Linked DNA regions of Mus musculus. The protein of the gene in region 5 purifies or fractionates together with the protein of the main gene of each other region. This does not show direct contact. Links are inferred from orthologs where the notes say so. Each region holds a gene or a part of one and is shown on either strand. Other genes may lie near its edges. The genes, in order: Rbm17, Phf5a, U2surp, Srrm2, Snrpa1, Snrpd1 and Sf3b4.

Region 1 (3,500 bases), on a different chromosome or scaffold from region 5:
AAGCGCCAGAGAGAAGAGCGGCAGAGGCAGCGGGAGCTGGAAAGACAGAAGGAAATAGAGGAAAGAGAAAAGTAAGTTTCCTTTTGATTTGGGAGCAAATGTCTTCTGTCAATGTGTGTTACAGTGAGTGAATTTTATTGTTGTCTCTAGGCCTGAGGTTATGGTTTCAGTCAACAAGGGTTTACCCACATTGATGGCACACTTGAGAAAATTTATTTATAGACTCAGAAAACCTAAAGTATAGACTTTGCATGAATTAGAAAAATAACTTTGAAAACCCACTGGTATCCAGGTGTGGTGGTGCATGCCTGTAATCCCACCCATGTAGTGTTCAAGGCCAGCCCTGTTTCAGAATCAAAACAGCAGACTCCATTGTTGCCATTTTTCCCTGGTTTGTGACTGCTAGAACCACATTTAGAGTATTTCAATGCTATTCCTTTACTGTATTTTGGTTTTGGTTTTTTTGACACAAGGCTTCTCTGTGTAGCTCTGGCTGTCCTGGAAATCACTCTGTAGACCTGCCTCGCCTCAAACTCAAGAACTCTACCTTCCTCTGTCTCCCGGGTGCTGGGGTTAAAGGCTTGGGCCACTATACCTGGCTTCCTTTCCTACTTTTGAGCCAGGTGAAATTACATGTATTTTTTTTTAATTTACTTATAATGTACTTATATAATACTTATAATTTAAAATTATAGGTAATGGGATTATTTCTTAATTTTATTATTTAATTTAATTTATTCTCTCATATATTAAATCCTGACTGTAGTTTTTTTCTCCCTCTCCCCTCCCAGCTCCTGAAATCATATGCCATATTATCCAAAGTTAGATGTCAAAATTTTTTCCCTATGAATTATGCCCATGTATCCATTAAAGTTGTTCATTTTTTTTCTTTTAAATTTTTCTATTGAATCCATTCCCAGAATACATATAAGAATTAACTATTTAAGCCAGGAGTGGTGGCGCACGCCTTTAATCCCAGCACTCGGGAGGCAAAGGCAGGCAGATTTCTGAGTTCGAGGCCAGCCTAGTCTACAAAGTGAGTTCCAGAGCAGCCAGGGCTACACAGAGAAACCCTGTCTCGAAACCCTCCCCCCTCAAAAAAAAAAAAAGAATTAATTATATTCAGTGAACATTTTTCTTTCTTTCTCTTTGGGTTTTTTGTTTGTTTCTTCGTCTTGTTTTGCCAAGAGGAAGTCATAATGACAGTTAAGCTTTATTTGGGCTCTGTCCTAATGTATCAGGGATGGCCATTTGTTACTTTGTCATTACAGGAGGCGTAAAGACAGACACGAAGCCAGTGGGTTTTCAAGACGACCAGACCCTGATTCTGATGAGGATGAAGATTATGAGCGAGAGCGGAGGAAAAGAAGTAAGGCGTGAGCGTGGACAAGCTCGCCCTAGACTCAGCACTGTCCCGGCTTTGCTTTCCCTTTCCCGTGAACATGGTGTATTTCACATTGGTTTGAGTAATTGGGGGGCTGGGCCAGTGCCCTAGATTCTCACCAGTCCACATTCCGTAGCAGCTTTGCTTTATGCTGTTTAATATCTTCTCTACTGTGAACTTTACTAACATGGCGAAACACCTGCTTTGAAACAGCATTAGGTCTACTTCTGCGCTTCTCCTTAATTGAGGCCTGGTCATCTTTTGCCTCTTCTCCAACCCAGAGCATTTCTGGCCAGCCCTGGATGTAGGAGGAGACCCCACATCCGGGGCACATTTGCTGATGACTCCGCTGCATCCGAGCATCCACGGAGCCTCTTTCATGTTCACCTGCTGCCTAAGCAGGGCGATCAGAGTCCGCGGCACTGGGGCTGTGAACCATCCCGTCTTACTATGCTAAATCTATAGCTTGGGTTCTCCTCAGTGGGCACAGTGGTGTGTGCCTGTAGTCCTGGCACTTTAATAGAAACAGGAGCACAAGCTCAAGGCCGGTCTGCATGAACAAAACAGAAAATAACGTTTTAAATGTCTGTTACAAATATGTCTTAAGAAGTGAAATGTCAGCCTCCTTTCTTTAGGGTTATATTTCTAGTTAATGTGCACCACCTGCTCTGTTCATCACCACCCGCTCTGTTCATCATCACCCGCTCTGTTCATCATAGTGCATCTCTACTGGCCTTCATTTCTTTTGTGAAACCTTTTAGGCTGATTGATACAGCATGGTTTTATAACCAATTTCAATTGGTCTTACTATTCCACTGATTAAAGTCACAATACATCTGGGTGAGACGCTTGACACAGGGTCTCCTTCTGGTGCTGGAAGTGACAGCTCTCGGTGACCTCCCAGATTGCTAATGCTAGAGGTATGGCCAGGACACTGTGTATTTTGGGATTCATGTAATGAAGAGTTCCTTACAGTCTGTTCATGATATCCTAGTTGTCATGTCTTTCAGTTTGTGTTCATGTTATCTGACCAGCAGACATGGGCAGGAATGGTGGCACTGCCTAACGTGTTCCTAAGAGCTAGGACTCATACTCCCCAGAGGCGTCCCTGATCCAGCTGTGCTTGCTGGGGCATTGTCCCTGATCCAGCTGTGCTTGCTGGGGCATTGTCCCTGTTCCAGCTGTGCTTGCTGGGGCATTGTCCCTGATCCAGCTGTGCTTGCTGGGGCATTGTCCCTGTTCCAGCTGTGCTTGCTGGGGCATTGTCCCTGATCCAGCTGTGCTTGCTGGGGCATTGTCCCTGATCCAGCTGTGCTTGCTGGGGCATTGTCCCTGATCCAGCTGTGCTTGCTGGGGCATTGTCCCTGATCCAGCTGTGCTTGCTGGGGCATTGTCCCTGATCCAGCTGTGCTTGCTGGGGCATTGTCCCTGATCCAGCTGTGCTTGCTGGGGCATTGTCCCTGTTCCAGCTGTGCTTGCTGGGGCATTGTCCCTGTTCCAGCTGTGCTTGCTGGGGCATTGTCCCTGTTCCAGCTGTGCTTGCTGGGGCATTGTCCCTGATCCAGCTGTGCTTGCTGGGGCATTGTCCCTGATCCAGCTGTGCTTGCTGGGGCATTGTCCCTGATCCAGCTGTGCTTGCTGGGGCATTGTCCCTGATCCAGCTGTGCTTGCTGGGGCATTGGCTTTGGTATCACAGGGAACTGGATTTATTCCACTTCTTCAGATTCATCTCTGTTTGCTCAATTGGAAACAGGAAGCTGTAATTACTTACTACACAAGTGCCAAATTGGTATGCTAATTTGGCTTATTCCTTAAAATATACTGCTAATCACAATCCTTGTGTCTTCACAGGTATGGGAGGAGCTGCCATCGCCCCACCGACGTCTCTTGTAGAGAAAGACAAAGAGTGTATGTGCCTCGCTTTCTTTTATTACCTATTCTCACACAGGTATTTGTGGACAGTGAAGATCCTAAGCTTGACTCTCTTGTGTCCTGAGTTTAGAGCAGAATAGCCTGGTTTTCATCCCTGAAGTCACAGTGGCCTTGCTTCCTGCTATACCTGGGATGCTTTGACAGGGTTTCTCTGTATAGCTCTGGCTGTCCTGGAGCTCACTTT
Region 2 (4,062 bases), on a different chromosome or scaffold from region 5:
GCAAGTAATCCTATTATCTAAGAGGCTGGCTGAGGCAGGAGGACTGCTTTGAGTTTCAGGCTACCCTGGACTACATAATGAGCACTAGACCAGCCAGGGCCAACATAGCAAGGCTACCTCAGTAGCTGCCACATCCTACATCCCTGCCCAGAGAACCACTATGTGGGTACAAATCTGTAACCTCTGCACTCAGGAAGCTGAAGCAGGAGGACCTTTGGTTCCAGGCCATTTTGAGACACACTGGCACCTATGTCTGTGAGAAAAAGAGGAAGACAGATACAGGCAGAGCCACTGAGTGTCTTCTACACAGCACCGACGTACTCATTAGCACACAAACAGAGGATCTTACATGTGGCTAAGAATAAAAATGAACGCCTTTAATCCCAGCACTCGGGAGGCAGAGGCAGGCGGATTTCTGAGTTCGAGGCCAGCCTGGTCTACACAGAGAAACTCTGTCTCAAAAAAACCAAAACCAAAACAACAACAAAACAAAACAAAACAAAACAAACAAAAAAAGGAATAAAAATGAGCTGCCCTGGCTAACTTTATGTCAGCCTGACACAAACTAGGGTCATTTTAAAAGATGAAAGCTCAATTGAGAAAGGCCCACTAGTTCGACCAGTGGTGCACTTTCTTGATTAATGGCAGACATGGGAGAGCCCAGCCCAGTGTGGGTAGCACTACTCATGGGCTGGTGGAACTGGAGGCAGTAAGAAAGCAGGCTGAGCAAACTGGAGGGGAAAGAGCAGTGATCGATCCTCCGTGGCTCCCGCATCGACAAACTGTTACCTGGAGGTGTGGAAGAAAACCTTTTCTTTCTTTAAAGCTGCTTTTAATCTTGTTGTATCATTGAGAAGAAACCTAACTAAGACAGCAGGTAAACACACTTGACAAGCCTAACATTTGCACTCAACCGCCAGGACCAGAGTCTACAGGGAGAACTGCCTTCAGCAGGTTGTCCACACACCCATTCGCAGGAGACAGCAAGGTACATGGAGAAGTTCTCCTAACTGCTGATACCAATGAAGACTTGCTTCTCTTCCATTCTGCCCTGATACAGAGTAACTGCTCTTTATTAGACCACACCCAGTTTGGCTCACAGGCTTGAAGAAATTACCTAGATAACTAGCTGAACACTGCAATCTCCACAGCCCAGATCAGAAGAGGTGGCCATGGATGGCAAAATGGTTCAAAGTAAAAGGAAGAGAAGAGCGGGTAGGAAGCTCAGCCTACACTCACATCCTTCTCCTGAATGGTGCACTCTTTACAGTAGTAGGCATCGGAGACTCCGGGGCCGCCACAGATTACACACCGGCCCTGGTAAGATCCATAGTTACACTCATCACATATGCGGACCAGGGTGCAGGGACGCACGTAGGAATCACAGATCACACACTTGCCGTCACCTGTAGAGAGAGGAGAACTGAGTTATAGCCAATAGCGATTACTCCCCTAAGATCTCTCCTCTGCCCTATGCGGGAAATCACTAGTCTCCTTCTGACAGTGACCTTAGGACCTTCTTCTACCTTGACAGCATAAGCCTTATCCTGTACCCGTCTCAGTTTAGTAGTTCATGGAAAGAGTTTGTATTAGTGTCTGGGAGCTTTTAAGTCTATGTAGTTACTGTCAACAAATTGACAAATGTCATTGGGCTGGGAAGGTCCCCACTACTCTTGACAAATCTTACTGTCCAAAAGTAGACATTTTTTTTCAAAACCTAAATATGAAGTATTAAAAATTGCATGCTTAAGTGGGAGGATGGTGGGGCAGTCTTTGGTGGCAGCCAGGTATTTAGTATCCTCTGCAGGCTGGTTTATCTATTTAAGACTTCTTTACTAGCCAGGCAGTGTTGGCATACGTCTTTAGTCCCAGCACTTGGGAAGAAGAGACAGGCGGATTTCTGAGTTCCAGCCTGGTCTACAGAGTGAGTTCCTGGACAGCCAGGGCTATACAGAGAAACCCTGTCTTAAAACACCCCCCCCCCCAAAAAAAGACTTCTTTGCTGTTCCACTGGAATTGACGACTCTTCAAAGAGTAAAGGTGTCAAGGCCTGAGAGGGCGTGTTCGGCTTACATTTTTCACACAGTCTTCCGATAGCTGCAAGGTCAAAGATAGTAAAACATCGTTAAAATTAAGGTTGTGAGGTAGCAAGCAAAGTTTTTCGTCAAACTGAGTATAGAGGATGGCGAAGGTAGCAATGATTACAGTCAACCGTACAGGATCGTGGTCACATTCTCCTTTCCTCCCTCTCCACTGTCCCCCACCCCCTACTTTTTTGTGATAGAATCCCACTGTGTAGCTTGAGTTAGCTTTTAAGCTCTAGCCAGGCTCGAACTCGCAGCAATCTTCCAGCCTTCTGCCTCCCAGGTGCTGGGATTACAGACAAGAGTTCCCGGCCCACGACCCTAAATTTTGCTTTACACCAAAGGCCATGTCAAAAATAAAAAAAATGTCTGGAACCCCCCAAAATTCAAAGTATTCTAGACCGGCTTCTCCAGACCTGGCACAGAGGATCCCGCCAGCCTTAGACTCCCGGATGCGCGCTGCTGCCCTCTTCTAAGATGCCACAAGCCGGTGAGCGCTGCTAGAATACCCAGGCACCGTAAGGCGCGAAACGTGGACACGGCAAACCAGAGCCCTAAAGAGGAGGCTGAAGTCCCTAGTCCCCCACTTTCTAATCCCATCCCACTCAACCAAAAGGGAGCACGTCCCCAACTCACCCACACCAGCCTGCTTGCGGCAGAAAATCAAATCTGGATGATGTTTAGCCATAACTCTTTTTCCAAGCCGGCGGCCGGAAGCTTAGGGAACTTCCGCCCGACCTTTAACCTACGGCGTGCTTACTTCCGTTCCTCCGTGATTGGCCATTAAGCTGTCCGTCAGCCTTTAGCCTCGGGGGGTGGGGGGGGGCACCAAAACCGGCTAGATCTCGCGAGAGTTTCCTCGCTAGGTCCTTGCAGGTGCACCAAAGGTTTTTGAATAAAATTCTCTTTACTTCCAGATTTGAACTCATAAACTGAAGTTTGTTCTTGGGTAAAAATTCTACATATGTTGCATTCTGTGTTGGGGATTGACGCCAGGGCTTCTTGCATGCTTCCGCCAAGTATGTTGATTTGGGGATATTCTCTTTCCTGGATGACCTTGAACTCCTGCCTCCCCTCCAGCTTCCACACCCAAGGGCAAAGGTGACAAGGTTGCGCCGAACGCCGAGTTGGCAGTTTCCCCGCATCTTTGCTTTCCACGCCGGGTTTCCGTCATGTAAGCCCCGCCCACTGTGCTATCTGCACTCTTGGCTGCGGGAGGAGGCCCCACCCTCGCGGTTGACTCGTCTCTCTGTAAGCCCCGCCCCCTTCGATGCTTTTTTAAGGGCGCCATTTGTCACGTCACTTTCATGCGACCTCATCTTTGTCAGTGCACAAAATGGCGCCTTACAGCCTCCTGGTCACCCGGCTGCAGGTAAGCGAGCCCAGAGACGTGGGTTTACGGGGGCGGGGAGCCTCCTGCCTTGCCCGCGGCTGTAGGCGAGGCCAGGCGAGGCGGGCTCGATTCGCGGCTGACGTTCCGTGCACCTGTCGCGGTTGCAGGCCCAGCGCCCTTGTGGGTTCCTGCGTTGTCCTAGGTCAAGGCGTCCCTGGCACAGGCTGTTCGCAGTTCCCATCCCCGCCCGCCGGCAAGCTTGGGTTTAAGCAGCGGCAGCCTGGTCCAGGGTGGAGGCACTCCTTTTTTTCTGAGGGTGGAATCCATGCTCCCCCAGGGTGGTTTTCTGTTCCTCAAGGTGATGACAAGGTGATTGGGGGGCGCGGTGGTTGTGGGTTCCTCTAAAGCCGGGTGCTTGAAGCCTTCACTTCCCACCAGTAGCAGAGACTCGTCGCCTCATTTATCCGTGGTTGCCGGGCATGGAGTTTGCAGAAGCTATATCCACTACTACCCTTTGAGGAGACTCGGGGTCATAGACACAAGAAGGACTATTCTGGGCCCCACCATAATAAATAGTCACGATAAGAGTGCTTTCTCACCTTTGCAGCAGATGTCAAGGCTGTTTACTAATGTTACAGATGTTTT
Region 3 (4,002 bases), on a different chromosome or scaffold from region 5:
CCAGGAGATATTAAAAATGAAAAGTATAGAACAATTACATAAAATAAAAGGGACTTTGGAAGGGTGCCCCCCCATCAAGTCCCCTTAGCAAGAACTACATACACTGTGTACATCATGAAGTTAATTTTAAAGCTAAAAATAACTAGTGGTTTATGTATTTTGTAATTAAGAAACACTAATGGGGCCATGAGCATGACTCAGAGAATGCAGACATAGGCCACACAGCCTGAAGGCCTGAATTTGATCCTTAGAACCTAGCGTTGTCCTCTGTCACATCTACACTGCGGCATGAGGGTGCACATGTGTGCACACAGACATGCACACTTTTGTAAAAGATAGAGACTTCATCATGGTCAATGGTAAAAACCCTATATCTTGTACAAATATTCTTTCAATGTGTAGAAATGACTAATAAACACCTCTACCCAAATTGATGGAAATGTAACTACCATAGCAAGAGCATGAAACAGAAGTCTCTACTTACTTGATATACAGCACAGAATACAAGCCTGGAAATTCCAAATATTGTACTAAGGCCAAAATGATCTTATAATCTAATAATGTCTAGACTTACATTTGAAATTAAAAAAAAACAACAACAATTTGAGTGGTCATTATGATGGCCAACACTTAATAATCCAAATCAGTGCTTTCTAGTTCCTTAAAAAAAAGGGAGCTGGAAGCGGTTGGCACATGCCTGTAATCCCAACTCTGGGAAATACAAGGAAGGAGCAGCAGGATGCTGAAGGTTAAAGTTCAAGCCAGCCTGGGCTACGGGAGACCCAGCTCAAAAACCTAGTACGCAGGATGGGTGGATGATCTATATAGACTTAGAAACTGAAGTAAGATTTACTAACATTTACAGTAACTCCATCTTTCTATCAGCCCTATAAAAGAATTTTTTTCCTGTAATAAGATAAGAAAACCTGAGGCTGAAGAGATTAGGTATCGTATTTGTTTTCAAAACCTATAACCTCGCCATTCCATTACAACACTTTCCATTACATGGAAAAATCCTGGCAAAACTCTTGAGTATAAATATTCCCTTTTCAGACACGAGTAAGGAACCCTTTGGTGACATCTAAAGGACTATAAACTGACAAGTGTGAATGAAAAAAAAAAAATCCAACAAGCTACTTAATACTTAAAAACTACACAGAGTCCTGAGAAGTATTCTCTTAGAAAAAAGTCTGAACACATACTTTGAAAAGCTTTCAATCTACCCAGGCCTCATGCAGGAAATACTAAATGCTTTGAGAAGAATATCAAAACAAATTGTAACTATGGATGTGGGTACCTGTCCTGGTCACGGGTCTGAAAGGAGGAGTGGCATCATGAGGTACCCCTTCATTCACCTGCTCCCCCAGAAAGGGAAGGAGGGGAAAAACTACTGGAGAAAAAGGAAGCTGACTTACAGTAAAGGTCTGGTGTAAGGACAACCAGAACTGGGCCCTCCCATAGTTCTGAAGAATGTCTAGTAAGACCTTTACTACTTGCTAAGTAAATCTGGGGCAATCATTCAGCAAAATGGCAAAAATTTAAAAATTAACAAATAAATAAACGTCAGCCTTATTAGAAAGAGAGCAAGTTTGGTTTGTTTCTCAAACCAAACAGCAAATGCAAACAGATAATCATACACTTTACGTTCCGAGACTCTTTAAATGTTATCCAACTCCTTATCTCTGCATCTCAAGCCTCGCCACTGGTTTATGGCAGTACTTAGGCATCTTTAATACCGAGATGGGGACGAGAATCTCCAAGCAAAATAATCCAAAATAGATAAGTAAATAAATGGGATTAAACACGCTGGCCAAAATGGCAACTAACACCAATTGTTAACCCAACCTTACTAACGCTTAATTACAGTTCAACGGTTTCCCAAGCAATGCACAGGGCTCCCTATAAACTCACATGTAAGGGCATTTGGGCAATTTCCACGTCTACCGTAGTTTCCCTTTCCAATGGAAACCCCACATACTGCTTGAGACCCTGAGTCTGCGGCCCTCAAGAGGGATGTTGTTCACTTTTCACTTCCCGGGAAGTGGGAGGAAAATCACATGGGAAGTGTGGCTCTAACCCTGAGGCTCAGAGAGCGGCTCCCTCCGCACGTCCCAACCCCAGGCCCTCCACTGGCGGGTCTCTCGCACACCCTTGCAACCCGTCCAGCCTAATTTCCTGGACGGCAAGGAGAGAAACCGTGTAAGGCCAGGAACGAGTAAGAGCCAAAGTAAAGAAGGGAGGACGAGGGGGGAAGAAACAGGCATCTAAGACCGGGAACCTTCCCGCCTCTCCCAGCCTCTAGCCCGCAGCCTCCGAGAGCAGCAAGGGGTGATACAAGGACGCCGGACCACCTCGGAACCACTGCTCTGACCCACAAAGCCGAACGAGGTGACCAGCCCCGCTCGCCACCAGGCACGCTGGTGTGGGGCTGAATCCCAGTCGGGACGGACGCGCGCTCGGGCCTCTCAACCTGCGCACCTTGGTGCAGCGGTGCCAGGCCCACTGTGGCCAACAGGCCTCAGCCCCTCGCCCCAGGAAACCCTCGAAGGCCAGAGGCTTCTGTAGGCCCTCGACCACGGTGAGAGACCCCCCTGACTGACGGAGATCTCTAAGAAACTACCTTTGAACTGGCCTTCTGAGATCCGCCTGGCGTTTTGTCGGCCATCTTGAGCTTTGCTCCTCCTTCAGCGGAGGCAGCAGCGCGGGTGAGTCGAGCACCGAGAGAACAGATAGCAGCCGAGCGCGCCAGAAAGGCTGCCAGGCCGAATAGCCGAACGCCGAGACGGAGACCTCCGCGGCGCCGGGGCCGCGTGACTTCCGCGTCGAGGCGCTTTTACGCGCCCCGCCCACCCCGCTCGCCTTCCGGTGAATTGCGGCGCCCAGTCACGTCACGCGCCTGCGGAATTTAGGGACTCTCCTTGACCCGACTTTCAAGGCCAACTGATAATTCAGTCATTTTCCTCCCAGAGCCAACCGGCGTTAGATGCGAGCGGGTTCTACTTCCTGAGGGGGGAAGGAAGCTGCTCTTTTAAAGCAACTGCAGTAGCCACGTGAGCCGAGCGTCTCACCTCAGCTGATGAGGCAGTTCGTCGAGACACTTTGCCGCACGATCCCCCAGGGGGCACAGGCCTTGGTGGCAAGGCAAATTTGCAATCTGCTCACGTTAAAAAATGGTGAGCAGTGACTTCAGAGTTGAGAAAAAACAGGGAAATAGGATAAAAACTGTTTAGGACGTCGGAGCATGGTACCTGCATAGACTGGGCATGGAGTTGGGGAGGGATGGATCGTAATATAGACGCTGTTCTAAAACGAGCATGTTTATTGTTACTGTGCAGTACAGGCACGCCCTAGCAACTGTGGGGAGGTTAAAGGACAGTTTGAAGGAGTTGGTGGGATTTGGGGATCGAAATGAGGTTGGCAGGTTTGCTCAGCAAGTGCCTTTTTCCCTCTGAGACTTCTGGCTACCCGCACCTATTTCTTTGAAGCATAGTCGCAAAAGTTGTGTAGCAGAAGATAGCCTTGAACTGCTGATTTTCCCGCCTCAGGTCCTGGGAATTAGTCTTGGGCCACCATGTCTAAGCTTTTTGTTAATTGAAGGGAAGCGGGGAATGAGTAAGTTTGGTTTGATTTGGGTTTTTCCAGTTTGTCGGCATTCCACCCCTGGCTGTCCCTGTGCTGTAGACCAGGCTGACCTCAAACTCGGAGATCTGTCTCCCAAGTGCTGGGAGAAAACGTGTGTGCCATCACCTAGATTTCAGTTACAGATAAGGGTCAGACCTAGAGAAGAGGCTCAGAATTGGAGATGTGTGACAGGACCTGAGAATGGAAATAAATTCATTTGGGCTGGAGGGCACAGAACCGTATTATACTGTACTTTCATGCATAGCAACCGTTACTTTCTGATCGTTGGCTTCCTGTTACTACGGTTTCTATCTCTGGTACCTGGCTTATTTATACCTCATCGCCTACCACCAGATTTTATTGATATTTATTTATTTATTT
Region 4 (3,500 bases), on a different chromosome or scaffold from region 5:
TGCTAGATTTCACTCGAGGAGAAGACCCAGAGCAGCTTTGTCTTGATGGGGTCCTTGATTTCACCTCACCATCAGGTGATGATTCAGAATGGCTCTGTCTCTGTGGTGTTGCAGTGCATTCATCAGCCTGCATGTTTGTTACAGACCCTGGTCTTGGTGGTGTTCCAGATTTTACTTTAGGCTGAGGAGAATTTGAACGACTCTGTCTTGGTGGTGTTTTTGACTTTTGTTTAGGTGGTGAAGAACCAGAACGACTTCGCCTGGTTGGTGTCTGTGACTTTTGTTTAGGACATGGAGAGGAACCTGAAAGGCTTCGCCTCAAAGATTTTGCTTTGGATCGTGGTGAAGAAAGAGACCTGCTCCGTCTTGAGGAAACGTGAGATTTTTTCATTTCTGGGCTTGAGTTGGATCTGCTTCTCCTCTGAGATGTTCTAGATTTGTTCTTCCTCTCTGAGGATGAGCCAGATCGTCCTCTTCTTTGTGGTGTTCTAGAGTGAGATCTTCCACGTCTCACAAGACTTCTACTTCGAGATCGTCGTCGTGCTGGTGTTCTGGATCGTGACCTCCCTCTCCTGGCTGGCGTTCTAGACCGAGATCGAGCGCTTCTTCTGGCTGGCGTTCTAGACCGGGACCTCCCTCTCCTGGCTGGTGTTCTAGATCTTGACCTGCCACTTCTCCTGGCTGGTGTTCTGGACCTAGACCTACCACTTCTCCTAGCTTGGGATCTACTCCGAGACCTCCTTCGAACTGGTGATCGTGTCCTAGACCTGCGGCGAGCGGGTGTTCTTGATCTGGACCTGCCCCTGCGAGCTGGTGTTCTAGACCGAGACCTACGCCTGGCAGGTGTTCTGGATCGTGATCTTCGCCTGGCAGGTGTTCTGGACCGAGACCTACCCCTTCTAGCTGGTGTTCTAGATCGGGATCTGCCCCTAGTAGCTGGAGATCTAGAATGTGATCTGCCTCGCCTTGCTGACCTAGACCTGCCTCTTCTCTGGGTATTTCTGCTCCTGGACCAACCTGGCCTCTGAGGAGACCTTGAACGGCCACGCCTCTGGGGACTTCTAGATTTTCCCCACCTCTGTGCAGATCTTGACCTTCTCCACTGAGGGGACCGGGACCTGGAGTGACCTCTCTTGGTGGGGGTTCTAGATCGAGACCGTCCCCTCTTAGTGGCAGGACTACGAGACCTCCCTGCTCTATGAGATGGGGTATGAGAATGAGATTTATCCCGCTTTGCTCTGCCATGCGAGCGATTCTTAGATGTGGGTGAAGAAGAAATCTCTCGACGGGACCCAGGAGCTGGTGTGGGTTTAAGACTTTCAGGAGAAGAGCTGGCATGCCGAGAACCTTTGGTAGGTTGAGGGGATGGTGGGCAACTTTCTGAGGAAGTAGACTGGGGAGGTTTCTCAGGAGACTTAGGTGGTGAACAGCCCCGGGTTGGGGAAGCCTCAGATGAGGGGTTAACTGGCTCCTGACTGGACGGGATTGCTGCAAGGGGTCGTGGGGAGTCGACATGTTGCTCAACAAGGAGCGGAGTAGGGGCAGGTAGTTCTGGCCCTGTGCTGCTCCTTTCCGGAGAGGGGCTAGGTCGAACTGCAGATTTCTAAGAGTGAAAAGAGAAGTAGGAATAGTAAAAAAAACACCAAAACCTCATTATCCTATAAGATACGAAGAGTTTCTAATAAAATTTTACACTATATACTTCTTATACCAATTGACCCTTTCCCTACCCATAGTTATACTCAGTAACAAGACAATATGCAATGCTTAGTTGGGAGCCAGTAAGATAGCTTAATGGGCCCATGAGGTGGCAAAGAGAAAACCTACTCTTCAAAATTGTTCTATGAACTGCACATGTGCATGTATCACATGCACACACACAAAATAAATGCATTTTTAACAATGAGAAAATAAAGTAGCAAGGGAAAAACCTGACCATATAAACAATCTCTAACCTCAAGTAGTAATTCAGAGAAACAAGAAAATGTAAACAATGCATTACCAACAAAATACCACCTGCCCTGTGGTACACCTTATAGACAGACAGCCCTGTCTCCATTTTGCATACTGGGGTTACACATAGACTATCACTAGCAACCAATTACTCACCTACTAAGTCATTTTCCTTTTTTTTTATCTTACCTCTTAATTTTTTTTTTGCTTTGTACATTGTTCTCTTAAACTTACTCAATATCTTTTGATGAGTGTTTTAAACTCATCAAGCAAGTCATCTCTATTGAATGTTTTTTTCTTTTCAAGGGAAAGTGTCTGACGTTGTGTATGGGTTGCAAATGAACACTACAACACCACCCAAAAAAGGTATAATTAAACAAAAAGAGAAAGTTTGGGTGACAATAACTTTCACCTGAATATGGACTGACTTAAAATATCACAAATGGGCACAAGGTTTTAAAGTGTATAATGTGTTAAATTTTATCAAGAGGGGCCTGGCATGGCCATATATGCCTTTAATCCCAGTACTTCAGAGACAGAGGCAGGTGGAGCTCTGTGAGTTTAAGATTAGCCTGAACTATGTATTAAGTTGCATGACAGCCAGGGCCTTATGTAAGGAGACCCTGTCTCAAAAACAAACATACTGACCAACAGTCAATGAGATGGCACTTGCAACATAAGCCTGGTAACCAGAGTTCAATCCACAGAACACATATATAGGTAGTTTTGTCCTTTGACCTCCAAACACATGTAACACATTTGCCTCCCCCTCATACATACACACAAAAATTAATTCACCATGGTCTTACAGGAACAGGCCAAACCATAAAAACAGCTTAATTACAGAAAACACCACAAACACCATAGCAAGCAGCAAAGTTTTCTTGTAACTTATCTTTAAAATGAGACACAATACGGGAAATATTAAGTTACATTAATTACTGAAACCAGTAGAAACAATCAGCCACAGAACTAGAATAGAGAATATAAAACAGGAACTACTAAAAAGATAATTCTTTCATGCTTTCAGATTGGTGGCATCAAATCAAAGGATTGAAAAATGTAAGAACTCATGACAAGCATACAATAAAAAGGATATAGATACTTTAAGTAGTAAAGTTAAAGGTAATTTTTAGAAAACTTTTTGTTGGGGGGTGGGTATGGGGGACCTTTGGGATAGCACTGAAAATGTAAACGAGGAAAATACCTAATTTAAAAAAAAAGAAATCAAAAAAAAAAAAAAAGAAAACTTTTTGTTGGGCAGAAGCAAGATGACAAAAGAAAACATCATCCTTGGTCATAATTCGATGTACATGTGCCACTTCTATGGCACTAAGGCACTTAACCACCACCTTCAGAAGTTGACCTGTGGCAAATGTGGCTATTGTGGCAAGAGCAAGAGTATTATTGGAGTCCCAAGACTAAAAGAGACAAAGCACTACTGCGTCTGGGTGGATGAGGAGCCTAAAATTGTTTATCCCACATTCAGACATGGATTCCTTGAAGGAACAACATCTCAACCCAAGAGGGCAGTTTTAGCTGCTGTA
Region 5 (4,238 bases):
ACAAAGGGATTACGAACAGCAGCTGAGGCTTGGCACTGTGAGAGGCCAGGGATGGTCACTGGTGAAGGTGTAGCCTCAGTTGGAGTTGATGGCCCAGGGCTGAAGGGGTCACCACTACATAAACTCACTCCAATAATCCTAGCACATGAAGATGGAGGCAGGAGAGTGAGCTGTTCAAGTTCCTTCTCAGGTCAGTCATTCCATGACTCAGCAGGTAAGAGAGTGTGTACAGCTCTTTCAGAGGACCAGAGTTCAGATCCCAGCAACCACGTGTAACCCCGACTTCAGAGTATCTGGCACCTCTGGCCTTTGTGGGTATCTGCACTCATGTGCCCAAAACCACAGAGATATAACAAATAATTTCTAAAAGTATTTTTAAGAGTGTTTTCTGCTCATGCTGAGGACCAGGGGTTGACTTCTAGCACACATGTCCAAAGGATCACAACGGCCAGCTCCAGGGAATTTTAGGCTGAAGCCTCCCCTGCACCTATACACAGGTGGGCATGTACATTAATTAGTAAGCTATGATTTAAAAAAAATACGCATATGATTTCGTGCATTTAAGGCTTGGCACTGTGAGAGGCCAGGGATGGTCACTAGTGAAGGTGCAGCCTCAGTTGGAGTTGATGGCCTAGGGCTGAAGGGGTCATCACGTATACACAGGTGGGCATGTACATTAATTAGTAAGCTATGATTTAAAAAAATATGCACATGATTTTGTGCATTTAAGCCTTTGGAGACAGAGGCCAAGGCTCTGCAGGTATATTGTATTCACTGTGGGGCACTCATCACATGGCAATTTCTGATATGTGTATTCCCCTGCACTTCGTATGAATTTTTTTGGTGTTGTTTGTTTGCTTGAGATAGAGTTTCTCTGTGTATCCCTGGTTGTTCTGGAACTGGCTCTGTAGGCGAGGATGGCCTCTATCTCCGAGATCCACCTCCTTCTGTCTCCAAACTGCTAGGATTAAAGGCATTCTCCATCACAGCTAGTCAATATGAATATCACTTATGGTTTATTTTATTTGTGTGTGTGTGTGTGTGTTTGCGGTTGCCGGTGTCTGAGGAGGCTAGAAATGGACGGCAAATCCCCTGAGGCTGAAGTTACAAGCAGTTGTCAGGTGTCCAGACGGATATTGGAATGCCAACTCAAGTCCGTTACAAAAGTTGCAAGTGCTCTTAACCTCTAAGCCACCTGACCAGCGCTTTGGTATGAACACCTAAATGTCTACAGGCTACAAGTTCACCCTCAAGCTTTAAGGTGACTGTACCAGGTCAGAAGGGTTCTGTTTTAAGGCAATCCAGCCTACGGGTCCTGCCCCTTACCTGCGGAAGCCCAAGTTAGACATTTAGGAACTTGACTTTCAGGAGACTTCACAGTCTCCGCCCCTTGTTGGGTGGAGAAGGGAGAGTAGTCCCAACTACCCCTCCCTTGAGGTTCACTGACGTGAGACAGAGCATCCCTCGCGTGTTCTTATCTTTTGGATTAAAAAAACTGGAATCTGGGCTCCCCACACTCCCAGGCACGCTCAAGCCCAGAACCCAGAAGCAAAGACACGGGGGCTACGTCTTCGATTGCTTTAGCCTGGCGGTCGAGCTGCGCGGGGATACGATTGGTGCTGTCTGGCGGCGAGGCGCGGTGCACTGTGGGACACGGCACTGGCGGGAGGCGCAGGCTGGTGTCGGAGGTGAGGGTCCGCGGGCTGCGACAGGATGGTGAAGCTGACGGCGGAGCTGATCGAGCAGGCGGCGCAGTACACAAATGCCGTACGGGACCGTGAACTGGACCTCCGGGGTGAGTTAGACGGAGCGCGGGCTGTGTTCCGGCCCCGGCGCGTGGCTGCGGGAAACCAGCCCCGCCGCGTGCGCAGAGGCTGGAGCCTGGCCCGTGGGCCTCCACCCGGGCTGGGCGCCTCCGATCCACCGTCCCGCAGGGCCCTTTGGGGCTGTTTGTTACCGGCGTTCCGGCTAGCAAACACGGCGCCTCGATTCCTTCCCCGGACCGTACTCACTAGGCATTGCCCCGCTCATCGAGCAGCTTTAACTGTTGGAGGACTAGGAAAATAGAAAACGCTACGGACAGGCCGGCTGCTGGCTGGTGTTTTTTGTTTGTTTGTTTGTTTGTTTGTTTGTTTGTTTTTTAGCAAAAGCGTTAATGTGGCACCTGAGGGTAGGGTGGATATGTACCAGAGTTACCTTAATTGCCCCAATAATTCCGGTTTGGTTTTGTTCATTTGTTTTTGAGACAACGTCTCGTGTATTCCGAGCTGACTTCAAACCGTTATATAGTTAAGGTTTATCTCGAACTTCGGACCCTCTTGCCTCCACTTCCTGGGAGCTGGGTTTAAATGCCTGCACCACGTTTATATGGTGCTTTGGATGAGCCCAGGGTTTCATGTCTGTCAGGAAAGCACTCGCGCTACTGAGCCAGACCCGCAGCCCCGGATAATTTGGTGTTTTCAAGATTGAGCTGTTTGACCGTGGCATAATGGTCACTTCTGTGTGTGGGGTGGCGGAACTCACCTGTTCAGTTCTGACAGAAGTAGCACTTGATTTTTAAAACATAGAACTGAGAGGTAATCGTTAACTATTCAGGAGATGGCTTTGGAAGGGGTTAAGATTATAAGACTGTGACCAGAGGCAATCAAAGTCTCGGGGGCGCTGTGCACTGCCATTTTTGAAAGTTTCTTCCTGCCTATGGGAAATCCTAGTGTTCTTTGTGTTTGTTGAATGAAATTAACTTTCTTGGAGAAAAGTCCGGTTCAGGAGCATCTGGGTCCTTTCACTGTCTTGGCACAGTTTTGATGTCTGCTGTCTCTCTGAAAACCGTGCAGTCTGGAGAATGCTTATTCTGCTACCATATCTTTTATTGCACTCCTTCACAGCTGGGTTGTGTCCTTCCTTATAGTACCTAGCTCAGTGACGAATGTGAATACCTCATAGACGTTCTTAATAAACCATGGGCACCAATACTAGTAAATATGCCCATCTGTTCTTCCTCTTGCCTTCAGCCTCTTCAGTTTTACTTCAAGCTTTGTAGCACTAAGGCCTCCACTTAACCCTTTCGTCATTTACCTTATTTTTGTTCAGTGCACGGCATGGTGCTAGTGCCTGGTTAATACTTCCCGAATGGGAGCGCTGAGTCAAATTCCATCACATACTCCTGCGATTTTCAGGACTTTTCATTTATATTAATATTTGTTGTATGTATGTTTTCCCTCTACAGGATATAAAATTCCGGTTATTGAGAATCTGGGTGCCACCTTAGACCAGTTTGATGCTATTGATTTTTCTGACAATGAGATCCGGAAACTGGACGGTTTCCCTTTGTTGAGAAGACTGAAAACATTATTAGTGAACAACAACAGAATTTGGTGAGTGACTGCTAGTGAGAATACTTTCTTCCCTTAAGTAAGTGTTCTAATGTACCCTGAAGATAATGGGGTTTTGGTTGTTGTTTTGTTTTGTTTTAATGTATATTAGTTTTTTGCTTGCAGGTACCACACACCCTCCTAGTGCCTCTGGAGGCCAGAGGAGGGCCTTGGCTTCTCTGGAGCTAGGTTTACAGATAGTCCTGAGCTGCTCCAGCTGTAGGAATAGAATCTGGGTCCTCTGGAAGATCAGCCAGGGCTCTAAGTTGCTGAGCCACCACTCCAGCCTGCCCATGTGTCTTAAAGGGAGAAATGAATAGAGCCCTTTTCCTAAGAGGTTGGAGATTAACTTGGGCATTGGCCTGACCTTACTTGCTACTCTTCAGAAATCTTTAATATTCGTAACTGACATTAAACTTTGAATTTGAAGCATTGTGCTATGTCAACAAATCAGATTTTAGAGTAGTCATCAATAGCATCATAATTAAAAAGATTTATAAAGGCCATGTGTAGTGGTATCTGCCTTTAATCCTAACACTCTGGAGTCTGAGGCAGGCTGATCTCTGAGTTCAAGGACAGCCTTGTTGACAGCAAATTCCAGCCAGGGCTACATAGTGAGACCCTGTCACAGTAAAAATCTTTTTATGAAATAAAGTTACTTTTCACTGAGTACCTATACCTCATCCACTATGCTGGTTTTGGTTTTTGTAGTTGGTTTCTACAATATAATTCTGTGAAATTAAGATCATATTTGTTTGTATGAGTGGGGTTTCTCTGTGAGCCCTGGCTGTCCTGGAACTCACTCTGTAGACCAGGCTGGCCTCAAACTCAGAGATCTGCCTCCCTTTGCCTTCTGAGTGCTAGGAT
Region 6 (3,500 bases), on a different chromosome or scaffold from region 5:
AACTAGAGAAAGGAAAAACAAAGCAGGTGAACTCCTTTTCAACAGCACATACCTGCCACCAAGAGCTTATCCCGAGCATTTTCCCACCTACACCTCTTCAATTAGCCGCTAACTAGAGTAAAAAAGCTCTAACTCAGCTTCTCTCAAATATGAGCACCACTACCATCATGTAAAAAGCAGGGAGACAAATTTACACCGTGTCAGATTTCTGCTTATTTAATAGGAGCCAAGCACGTTAACCAAATGGGAGCTTGAAAACTTGTTTGGCTTCTAACATGTCAGCCTTGAACACACAGCGGTATCTCTAGCTGGTCATCATGAGGACAAAGAAAGGAAAGGCAAGAAAGCAGAGCGCCTGCTTGATGCAGTCAGACTGAGGTGTAACACCCCACCCATGGTCAGGATCAGACCCAGGACATCATGCTGTGATTGCCACTGGGTGATGATATCCCCCACACCCTGGTAACGCCATACATTTTTTAGCCCTGGCTTCCTGGCTTTATAGACCAGGCTGGCTTCAAACTTACAGAAATCCACCTGTCTCTGTCTCTCAAGTGCTGGGATTAAAGGTGTGCATATAGTAAAGGAAAAATAGCTTTCTAAAGAAACTAGAAAGAGAGGACTGGAGGGACTCTTCTCCACAGCAGCACCAGAACTCTAGGTAGCGCATGTCCTAAGACAAATGTTCTGAGCCACAAAAACACCCTTGTTCACAAATGTATTTTGAACAGCGAGCTAAGACTTAAATACACTATACATAAAACACTTTCACACGTACCAGCTTCTCTTTTCTTAGACTTCACCTTAGGTTCAACATCCACAAGTAGTGTATCTAGAGGTAAGCTGTCTGGTAGAATAAAATACCGAATGTTATTGCCTCGAATACTCAATGTTTCCAACTGTACAGGTTCTCTGTTCTTCAGGGTCATTTTCACAGCTTTAAGGTGTGTGTTCATGCTGACATCTACACCTAAAGGGGGGTGGGGAGGGAAGCAGAACAATTACCAGCATGATAAAGAAGGCAATCAATATATTGCACCAAGAGTTGAAATCATACTGTAAAGAATTTTTTTCTGCTATGTTATAGGTCAAGTTCCTGTGACAATATATGCACAACGGGGAAAAATGTCAAAATAAATCAGCAACAAAACCTCTGTACAAAGCTGAGTGCACTTACAGAATTGAATGCACTGGTGGTGTGGTTAAGTGACTCCTGTAATCTCAGCATTCAAGAGGCTGAGGCACAAGGAGTGCATGTGTTCAAGGAAAGCTGGGACAACAGAGAAAGAGCCTATTTGCTAGACAAAGGAAATGAGCATAGCAAGCTATGAAGGAGCCCTGAGTCTACTACCTTCAGGACTGAATTCTTGTCCCAGGATTAGATAGTGTTTGTGATAAAATCTCCCATTATCCCCATAACTTCTTAACCAACATTCTATCAGGCCATAGGCCTTTATTCTTAAAGACCTATGGTATTTTTCCCTATCATTAGGAACTCTTCCCCCACTTTCTTATGTGCCCCAAGCTGACCTCAGACTCTCAAGTGCTTGCTCTACAGGTACTCACCGCCACACCCAGTTTAACATGTCTATTTATTTACTTAAAATGATTTTTAGGGGCTAGAGACATGGCTCAATGGTAAGTGTGCAGGACTCTTACAGAGAACCAAGTTTGGTTCCCAGTACTCACATCTGGAGGGCCCTAACTAATTGCCTGTAACTCCAGCTCCAGAGAGACCCAGTACCTCTGGCCTCCAAAGGCACCTGTACTCACATACATACAGAGTTAAAAACAGAATCTTATCAAAATTAATTTGTATGAGCATGGCTGTGTGGGAAGGCAGCTACCTATACGCTATGGTGCATGTCTAGAGATCAGGACAACTCTTAGGAATCAGCTCTCTTTCCTCTGTGTAGATCCTGAGGCATGAACTCAGTTGTCAGGCTTGGCATCAGATGCCTTTACCCACAGGGGTGAGCTGGCACACCCTCTCACCTTGTTTTCTCAGACAGAATGTCTCAGAGAACTGGAATTTCAGAACAGGAAGTACCCATCCTTTGGGGGACCTGAACTCAGGTTCTCAAGCTTGCACAGTAAGCACTTTGCCAACTAGGTCCTTTGTCTGGGTCCTTATGTCTTTCTAAATGTGAAGGTTTATATTTTTTTGTGGTGCCATGGACTGAATCCAGGACCTCAAGCATGCTAGGTAACTGTACAATCACCTTATAACCCAGCCTTTAACTGAGCTTGTTTATATATTTGTTTTTGTTCTGTTAGACAGGCTGTCACTATGCAGCCCAGAGTTGCCTCAAACTAAGGATTCTGCTCTAGCCTTCTAAGTGTTGGCATTACAAGCACGAGCCACCATGCCAGGCTAACTTTACTGTTTTTCTCTCCAAAAATTCACTATTACAAATCCTTTCTTTGTTAGGCAAGGGTGGAACATGCCTTTAATTCTAGCAGAGGCAGGCCAATCTTAGTGAGTTCAAGGTCAGCCTGTTCCACAGACCAAGTTCCAGGACAGTCAGCTATACTGAAAAAAAATCTGTCTCAAAACAAAACAAAACCCAACAACAAATGCTTTCATCTTCTTCTCCAAAGAAGGAAGTTCTCTTAGTTCCTAGACAGCCTTACTACATTCCCTCTCCTCCATATGCTCATATATGTGTGTGTGTGTGTGTATGTGTGTACATTCATATGAGATACAGAAACTTGTGTTGGGTTTTGTTTTGTTTTTGGATTACAATTTTCATCATTAGATTTTGATAGGGGAGGGGTGGGTAGGTGGGCAGCAAACATGCCACTCTGGGGTTTGGGAACGTAGCTCAGCTGGTAGACTACTTCCTTAGCATACATGAAGTACTGGCTTCAATCCCCATTGCTAAATAAAGAGGTGTGGTGGTGCACATCTGAAATACCAACAGCCAGGAGCTAGAGGAACAAAACCAGAAGAAGGCCATCTTCAAATATACACAGTTAGTTTGAAGCCAGGATACATAAATCCTGCATCTAAAACAGGACGCTGAGGAGGAGGAGGAGATCTTTCCCAATGCTTTTCTACAGGAACAGGCCAAATCCTACTCAAGGAACTTTAACAAGGGCAGCAACAGTACATCCTTAGATATGGAAATTTGACATAACTTCTAGAAGAGCCACAAAATGCCATCCCATTTTCTCCTGGCTTACTAAAACACTGGACCTACCTATTAAAAACTTACACATCTACAAGGTCAGTATTTTAGAGAATAGGAACACATGTTAAGATACTATTTTTCAGCACTTGGGAGGCAGAGGCAGGTGGATTTCTGAGTTCCAGGCCAGCCTGGTCTACAGAGTGAGTTCCAGGACAGCCAGGGCTACACAAAGAAACCCTGTCTCGGGGGAAAAAAAAAAAATACTATTTTTCCCTTTGATAACCACTTTTTAAAAAAAAAGTCTTAGGAGACAAACAGGAGAGGATAATGAAGGATGAACAATGATAAAAAAACGTGTGCACAATA
Region 7 (4,073 bases), on a different chromosome or scaffold from region 5:
AACTGTTTGTTAGCGTCGTTCTCAGAGGCAGGGCAGGGGTCTCTGCTCATCTTCCTGTCTGACCTTGACGCCTCAGCTTTGGCATTCCAGTCTGCAGAGTTCACTTAGAAGGCCCGTTTCTGTAGCAGATGGTGGCGCTACCAACCTAAAGGTCTCCCGATTTGTTTGATTTCTGGGGCTATTTTCATTTCTTGTGATTTGAAAACTAAGAAACAAGACCAGTTCAGAATGTGATTGCCCCTTTTCCCAGGCAATTCTGTACCTTTTGGATGGCCGTCAAAACTGTGACATGAGAGACCCTTTTCATCAGTCCCAACAATGATGTCCTAGAGACCTCATTCGCAACCTCTCTACACTACTTTGAAATCTTTTCTTAGTCTTCTGTGGGAACGAGGTGAATAAGGGAGAAACCGTCTCCTCCCACTGTATATTTTCATAGCAGCGTTTCTATTTAAGGAGTTCATTAAAGCACAGTATTTCTACACATTGCTGGTATTTTCTTGTGTTGAATGAAGATCTCAGCAAAGCCGTGGGGGTGGAGGGGAGGGTGTGAACTGAGAAAAACACCCAAATTATTGTAAGGAAATAAAGGATCCAAGTCAGGCGTGGCCTGGAAGAAATACACATAAAATATGGGGGAAGGGGTCCGCACACCTTTTTTGAGACATGGTCTCTATGTGTCTATTAGGCCAGCTGGAACTCTGTTTTTTGAGACAGGTTTTCTGTGTGGCCATGGCTGTCCTGGAACTCGTTCTGTAGACCTGGCTGGCCTTTAACTCAAGAGATCCATGTCTGCTCCTTAAAGCTTCGATACCAGCCCGCAACCCAACCCGGTTTCGTGTCCCAGATTTCCCAAGATAAGCGGAGATTTGACACTTAGGGGAAAACAAAATACCTCAGGCTCAAGTCTAGGCCGAGGGCGAGTCTGCACGAGCGTCGTGGACCTCACTAAATAATAGGTCGCTCCAGAAGGCAGTCCTGGCCCTGCACTTAGGACACAACTCTGCGTCACAGAACGTACAAAGCCTGGTTTTGCACTTGAATGTGCGTTTGGGGAGCCGTGTGAGCCTCTAACAGTCTGGAAGCATCCGGGGCTTTAGTTAACTGTGTCGAGACGGGCTGAGCACATCCGTTCCGCCCCGACTACAGCAGCAGCCCTAGAGCGCCTTTCCCTTCCGAAAGACAAGACTCCGACCCCTAAGATGGCCGCGATCGCTTCCGGCTCCTCCCCCCCCCCCCGGCGCCGGCCCCGCCCAACGTGAGCCTTGGCCCGGAAGTGGAAGTTGTAACTGAGGTCAGGGGGCGGTGCTGCTGCTTAGAGACGGCGGGAGCCCCTTCGCCATGGCTGCCGGACCGATCTCCGAACGGAATCAGGGTAATTGGGAGAGAAGAGCCCAAGATAGGAGCAGGGAAGTGGAGGGAAGATTAGTGCCGGAAGCGTTCCCCCTGGGGTGGTAGACGAGATCCCCCCCGGTGGGACACCGACCTCTGGGCACCTGGCTGGCCGCGAGGCCGGGTGCAGGCCGAGGCCTGTGAGAAGCGATGCTTCTAGATCAGCTCCCTCCACCAAGAAGACAAAAGCCTCCCGGGAGTACCGGACCAGCAAGAATGCCAAATTAGACGTAGCAGATTTTCTAGATGATGGTGGCAGAGGGAATTTCAGGGCTTTAGGCGACGGTTTTTGGTTTTTGTCTTCTTTTTCACTGCCGACTCCTCATCGCCTGCTTCTTCCCTTTAGATGCCACGGTGTACGTGGGCGGTCTGGACGAGAAAGTGAGTGAGCCGCTGCTGTGGGAGCTCTTTCTCCAGGCAGGGCCAGTGGTCAACACCCACATGCCCAAGGACAGAGTCACTGGCCAGCACCAGGGTGAGTAGGGTACGGGGCAGGAATCAGCCCTGGAGAGGGTTAACCGGCCCCGAAGAGGCTCAGCCGCTAGGCACAGCGCCTTTGGAATGAGCAACCTAAAGATTGCTTTCTCCTTCAGCTTCAATTCCCAGTTTCTGGAATATTTTCTCTTAGCTCTAGTTTCTGGAACCATTCTCAACCATTCTCTGTGTAGTCCTGGCTGTCCTAGATCTTGCTCTGTAGACCAGGCTGGTCACGATCTTTGAGCTCCACCTGCCTCTGCTACGAAGTGGTGGCATTAAAAGCACGTGCACGTGCAGTCGCCCAGCTATTATCTATTATGTTCTTTGTGTTTGAAGGCTGGGGAGTTAATGTTTCATTTTGAGTCTCTTCCCCTGAATGATGGGTTTTTTTTGTTTGTTTGTTTTTTGTTTTGTTTTGTTTTTTTCATTGATTCCCCAGGCTATGGCTTTGTTGAATTCCTGAGCGAGGAAGATGCCGACTATGCCATTAAGATTATGAACATGATCAAACTCTATGGAAAGCCAATACGGGTGAACAAGGCCTCAGCTCACAACAAAAACCTGGATGTGGGAGCCAACATTTTCATTGGAAATCTGGACCCAGAAATTGATGAAAAGCTGCTTTACGATACTTTCAGCGCCTTTGGAGTCATCCTACAGACCCCCAAGATCATGCGGGACCCTGACACAGGCAACTCCAAGGGTTACGCCTTCATTAATTTTGCCTCCTTCGATGCTTCGGATGCAGCAATTGAGGCCATGAACGGGCAGTACCTGTGTAACCGTCCTATCACTGTGTCTTATGCCTTCAAGAAGGACTCTAAGGGTGAACGCCATGGCTCAGCAGCTGAAAGACTCCTGGCAGCCCAGAACCCGCTGTCCCAGGCTGACCGCCCTCACCAGCTGTTTGCCGATGCACCCCCTCCGCCCTCTGCCCCCAATCCCGTGGTTTCATCCCTGGGTTCTGGGCTTCCTCCACCAGGTACAGCTTGGAGTTCAGACTGTGCCAGTGAGGCTCTTGGGAGGGAGGCTCAGGAGGCAGAAGCAGCCCTGGTAGAGTAAGCTGCTAAGTTGTTGGGCAGTGAGACAGGAGTGAGGCGTGCTGGTGGAAGGGATGAAGTTGGCGGATGAAGTTGGCAGATGGAGTGAAGCTGAAGGGAAGCCTGCAGGGGGGAGGCTGGAGCTCTGCAAGACATTAACTGTCTTCCATTTCTTACACAGGCATGCCGCCTCCTGGCTCTTTTCCACCTCCAGTGCCACCTCCTGGGGCCCTCCCTCCTGGGATTCCCCCAGCCATGCCCCCACCACCTATGCCACCTGGGGCTGGAGGACATGGCCCCCCAGCAGCAGGGACTCCAGGGGCTGGACATCCCGGTCACGGACACTCACATCCTCACCCGTTCCCACCAGGTGGGATGCCCCATCCAGGTAAGGGCTCTGTGCTGGGAAGGAGCTGAGCTTGTGAGAGGGGCTTTCTTACTGTCTGTCCTGGTAGTCTTGGATGAAAATAGTCCAGAGTCCTCCTTTTCTTCAGAAACAGACAGTACTTTGTACGTGTTGGTGCTCCTGTTTTATCTCCAGTTCTTGTATTTCCTAAAGGATAGCTTGTACTGGGCAAAACTCTCAACCTCTCCTCTGCTTCCAAGGTTGCCAAATCTAGAAGACATTTCTGCTTTTGGCTTTTTGAGAAACGGGTTCTCTGTGTAGCTGGCAGTGTCAAACTCAGAGATCCTCTTGCCTCTGCCTCCCAAGTGCTGGGACTAAAGGCGTGCGTGTTTCTAGATTTCTCTAATGTCAACCATAGCAACCTGGATCGGCTCCTTTTTTTATGTTTGTGTAGATTTTTTGCTTGTTTCTCTTTTCTTTGTTTCTCTGTAGTGTTAAATGTGAAGGTGCTAATTTACCATTGGTCTCTGGTCTTAGGTTCTTGGCAGGCTAGAAAAGGCCACTGCTCAACCCACACTTAACTTTCCTCTTTCTGACACCATCTTCAGTAGTTCTCACTTGTAGGAGCCCAGTTTACAACTCTGGGGCTTTGTCTGTTCTGTCCTCCACTTTGCAGAGCAAGTCTAGCTTATGTTTTTGTCATTGGTCACAAGCCAGTGCTCAGACTGCACTCACTTCCTGTCACTGACTCAGGGACTCATCTACTTTCACTGAGTAACTTTTCCAGGGTATTCACAGACATTTTCTTCTTCTTTTGT

The links.
Region 1: the proteins of Snrpa1 (region 5) and Rbm17 purify together in Homo sapiens (affinity purification with mass spectrometry; 5 studies listed by BioGRID and IntAct, with this or other methods). This does not show direct contact. The link is inferred for Mus musculus from reciprocal best matches to the Homo sapiens genes SNRPA1 and RBM17.
Region 2: the proteins of Snrpa1 (region 5) and Phf5a purify together in Homo sapiens (affinity purification with mass spectrometry; 4 studies listed by BioGRID and IntAct, with this or other methods). This does not show direct contact. The link is inferred for Mus musculus from reciprocal best matches to the Homo sapiens genes SNRPA1 and PHF5A.
Region 3: the proteins of Snrpa1 (region 5) and U2surp purify together in Homo sapiens (affinity purification with mass spectrometry; 5 studies listed by BioGRID and IntAct, with this or other methods). This does not show direct contact. The link is inferred for Mus musculus from reciprocal best matches to the Homo sapiens genes SNRPA1 and U2SURP.
Region 4: the proteins of Snrpa1 (region 5) and Srrm2 fractionate together in Homo sapiens (co-fractionation; 3 studies listed by BioGRID, with this or other methods). This does not show direct contact. The link is inferred for Mus musculus from reciprocal best matches to the Homo sapiens genes SNRPA1 and SRRM2.
Region 6: the proteins of Snrpa1 (region 5) and Snrpd1 purify together in Homo sapiens (affinity purification with mass spectrometry; 4 studies listed by BioGRID and IntAct, counting the BioPlex papers as one, with this or other methods). This does not show direct contact. The link is inferred for Mus musculus from reciprocal best matches to the Homo sapiens genes SNRPA1 and SNRPD1.
Region 7: the proteins of Snrpa1 (region 5) and Sf3b4 purify together in Homo sapiens (affinity purification with mass spectrometry; 3 studies listed by BioGRID and IntAct, counting the BioPlex papers as one, with this or other methods). This does not show direct contact. The link is inferred for Mus musculus from reciprocal best matches to the Homo sapiens genes SNRPA1 and SF3B4.

What each region holds. Positions count from the first base shown.
Region 1 is NC_000068.7:11,593,200-11,596,699, reverse strand, and holds part of Rbm17 (splicing factor 45), read left to right. Parts: coding exon 1-71; intron 72-1,271; coding exon 1,272-1,369; intron 1,370-3,235; coding exon 3,236-3,292; intron 3,293-3,500. UniProt on the Homo sapiens protein: Splice factor that binds to the single-stranded 3'AG at the exon/intron border and promotes its utilization in the second catalytic step. Involved in the regulation of alternative splicing and the utilization of cryptic splice sites.
Region 2 is NC_000081.6:81,869,093-81,873,154, forward strand, and holds the start of Phf5a (PHD finger-like domain-containing protein 5A), read right to left. Parts: upstream 2,801-4,062; 5' UTR 2,773-2,800; coding exon 2,721-2,772; intron 2,098-2,720; coding exon 2,074-2,097; intron 1,407-2,073; coding exon 1,240-1,406; intron 1-1,239. Other genes in the region: Aco2 (aconitate hydratase, mitochondrial precursor), read left to right, coding at 3,421-3,456.
Region 3 is NC_000075.6:95,509,197-95,513,198, forward strand, and holds the start of U2surp (U2 snRNP-associated SURP motif-containing protein), read right to left. Parts: upstream 2,801-4,002; 5' UTR 2,666-2,800; coding exon 2,621-2,665; intron 1-2,620.
Region 4 is NC_000083.6:23,813,225-23,816,724, reverse strand, and holds part of Srrm2 (serine/arginine repetitive matrix protein 2), read right to left. Parts: intron 1,604-3,500; coding exon 1-1,603. UniProt on the Homo sapiens protein: Required for pre-mRNA splicing as component of the spliceosome. As a component of the minor spliceosome, involved in the splicing of U12-type introns in pre-mRNAs.
Region 5 is NC_000073.6:66,058,898-66,063,135, forward strand, and holds the start of Snrpa1 (U2 small nuclear ribonucleoprotein A'), read left to right. Parts: upstream 1-1,438; 5' UTR 1,439-1,713; coding exon 1,714-1,795; intron 1,796-3,226; coding exon 3,227-3,374; intron 3,375-4,238. UniProt on the Homo sapiens protein: Involved in pre-mRNA splicing as component of the spliceosome. Associated with sn-RNP U2, where it contributes to the binding of stem loop IV of U2 snRNA.
Region 6 is NC_000084.6:10,624,296-10,627,795, reverse strand, and holds part of Snrpd1 (small nuclear ribonucleoprotein Sm D1), read right to left. Parts: intron 971-3,500; coding exon 779-970; intron 3-778; coding exon 1-2. UniProt on the Homo sapiens protein: Plays a role in pre-mRNA splicing as a core component of the spliceosomal U1, U2, U4 and U5 small nuclear ribonucleoproteins (snRNPs), the building blocks of the spliceosome.
Region 7 is NC_000069.6:96,171,233-96,175,305, forward strand, and holds the start of Sf3b4 (splicing factor 3B subunit 4), read left to right. Parts: upstream 1-1,273; 5' UTR 1,274-1,341; coding exon 1,342-1,375; intron 1,376-1,738; coding exon 1,739-1,867; intron 1,868-2,308; coding exon 2,309-2,851; intron 2,852-3,090; coding exon 3,091-3,297; intron 3,298-4,073. UniProt on the Homo sapiens protein: Component of the 17S U2 SnRNP complex of the spliceosome, a large ribonucleoprotein complex that removes introns from transcribed pre-mRNAs.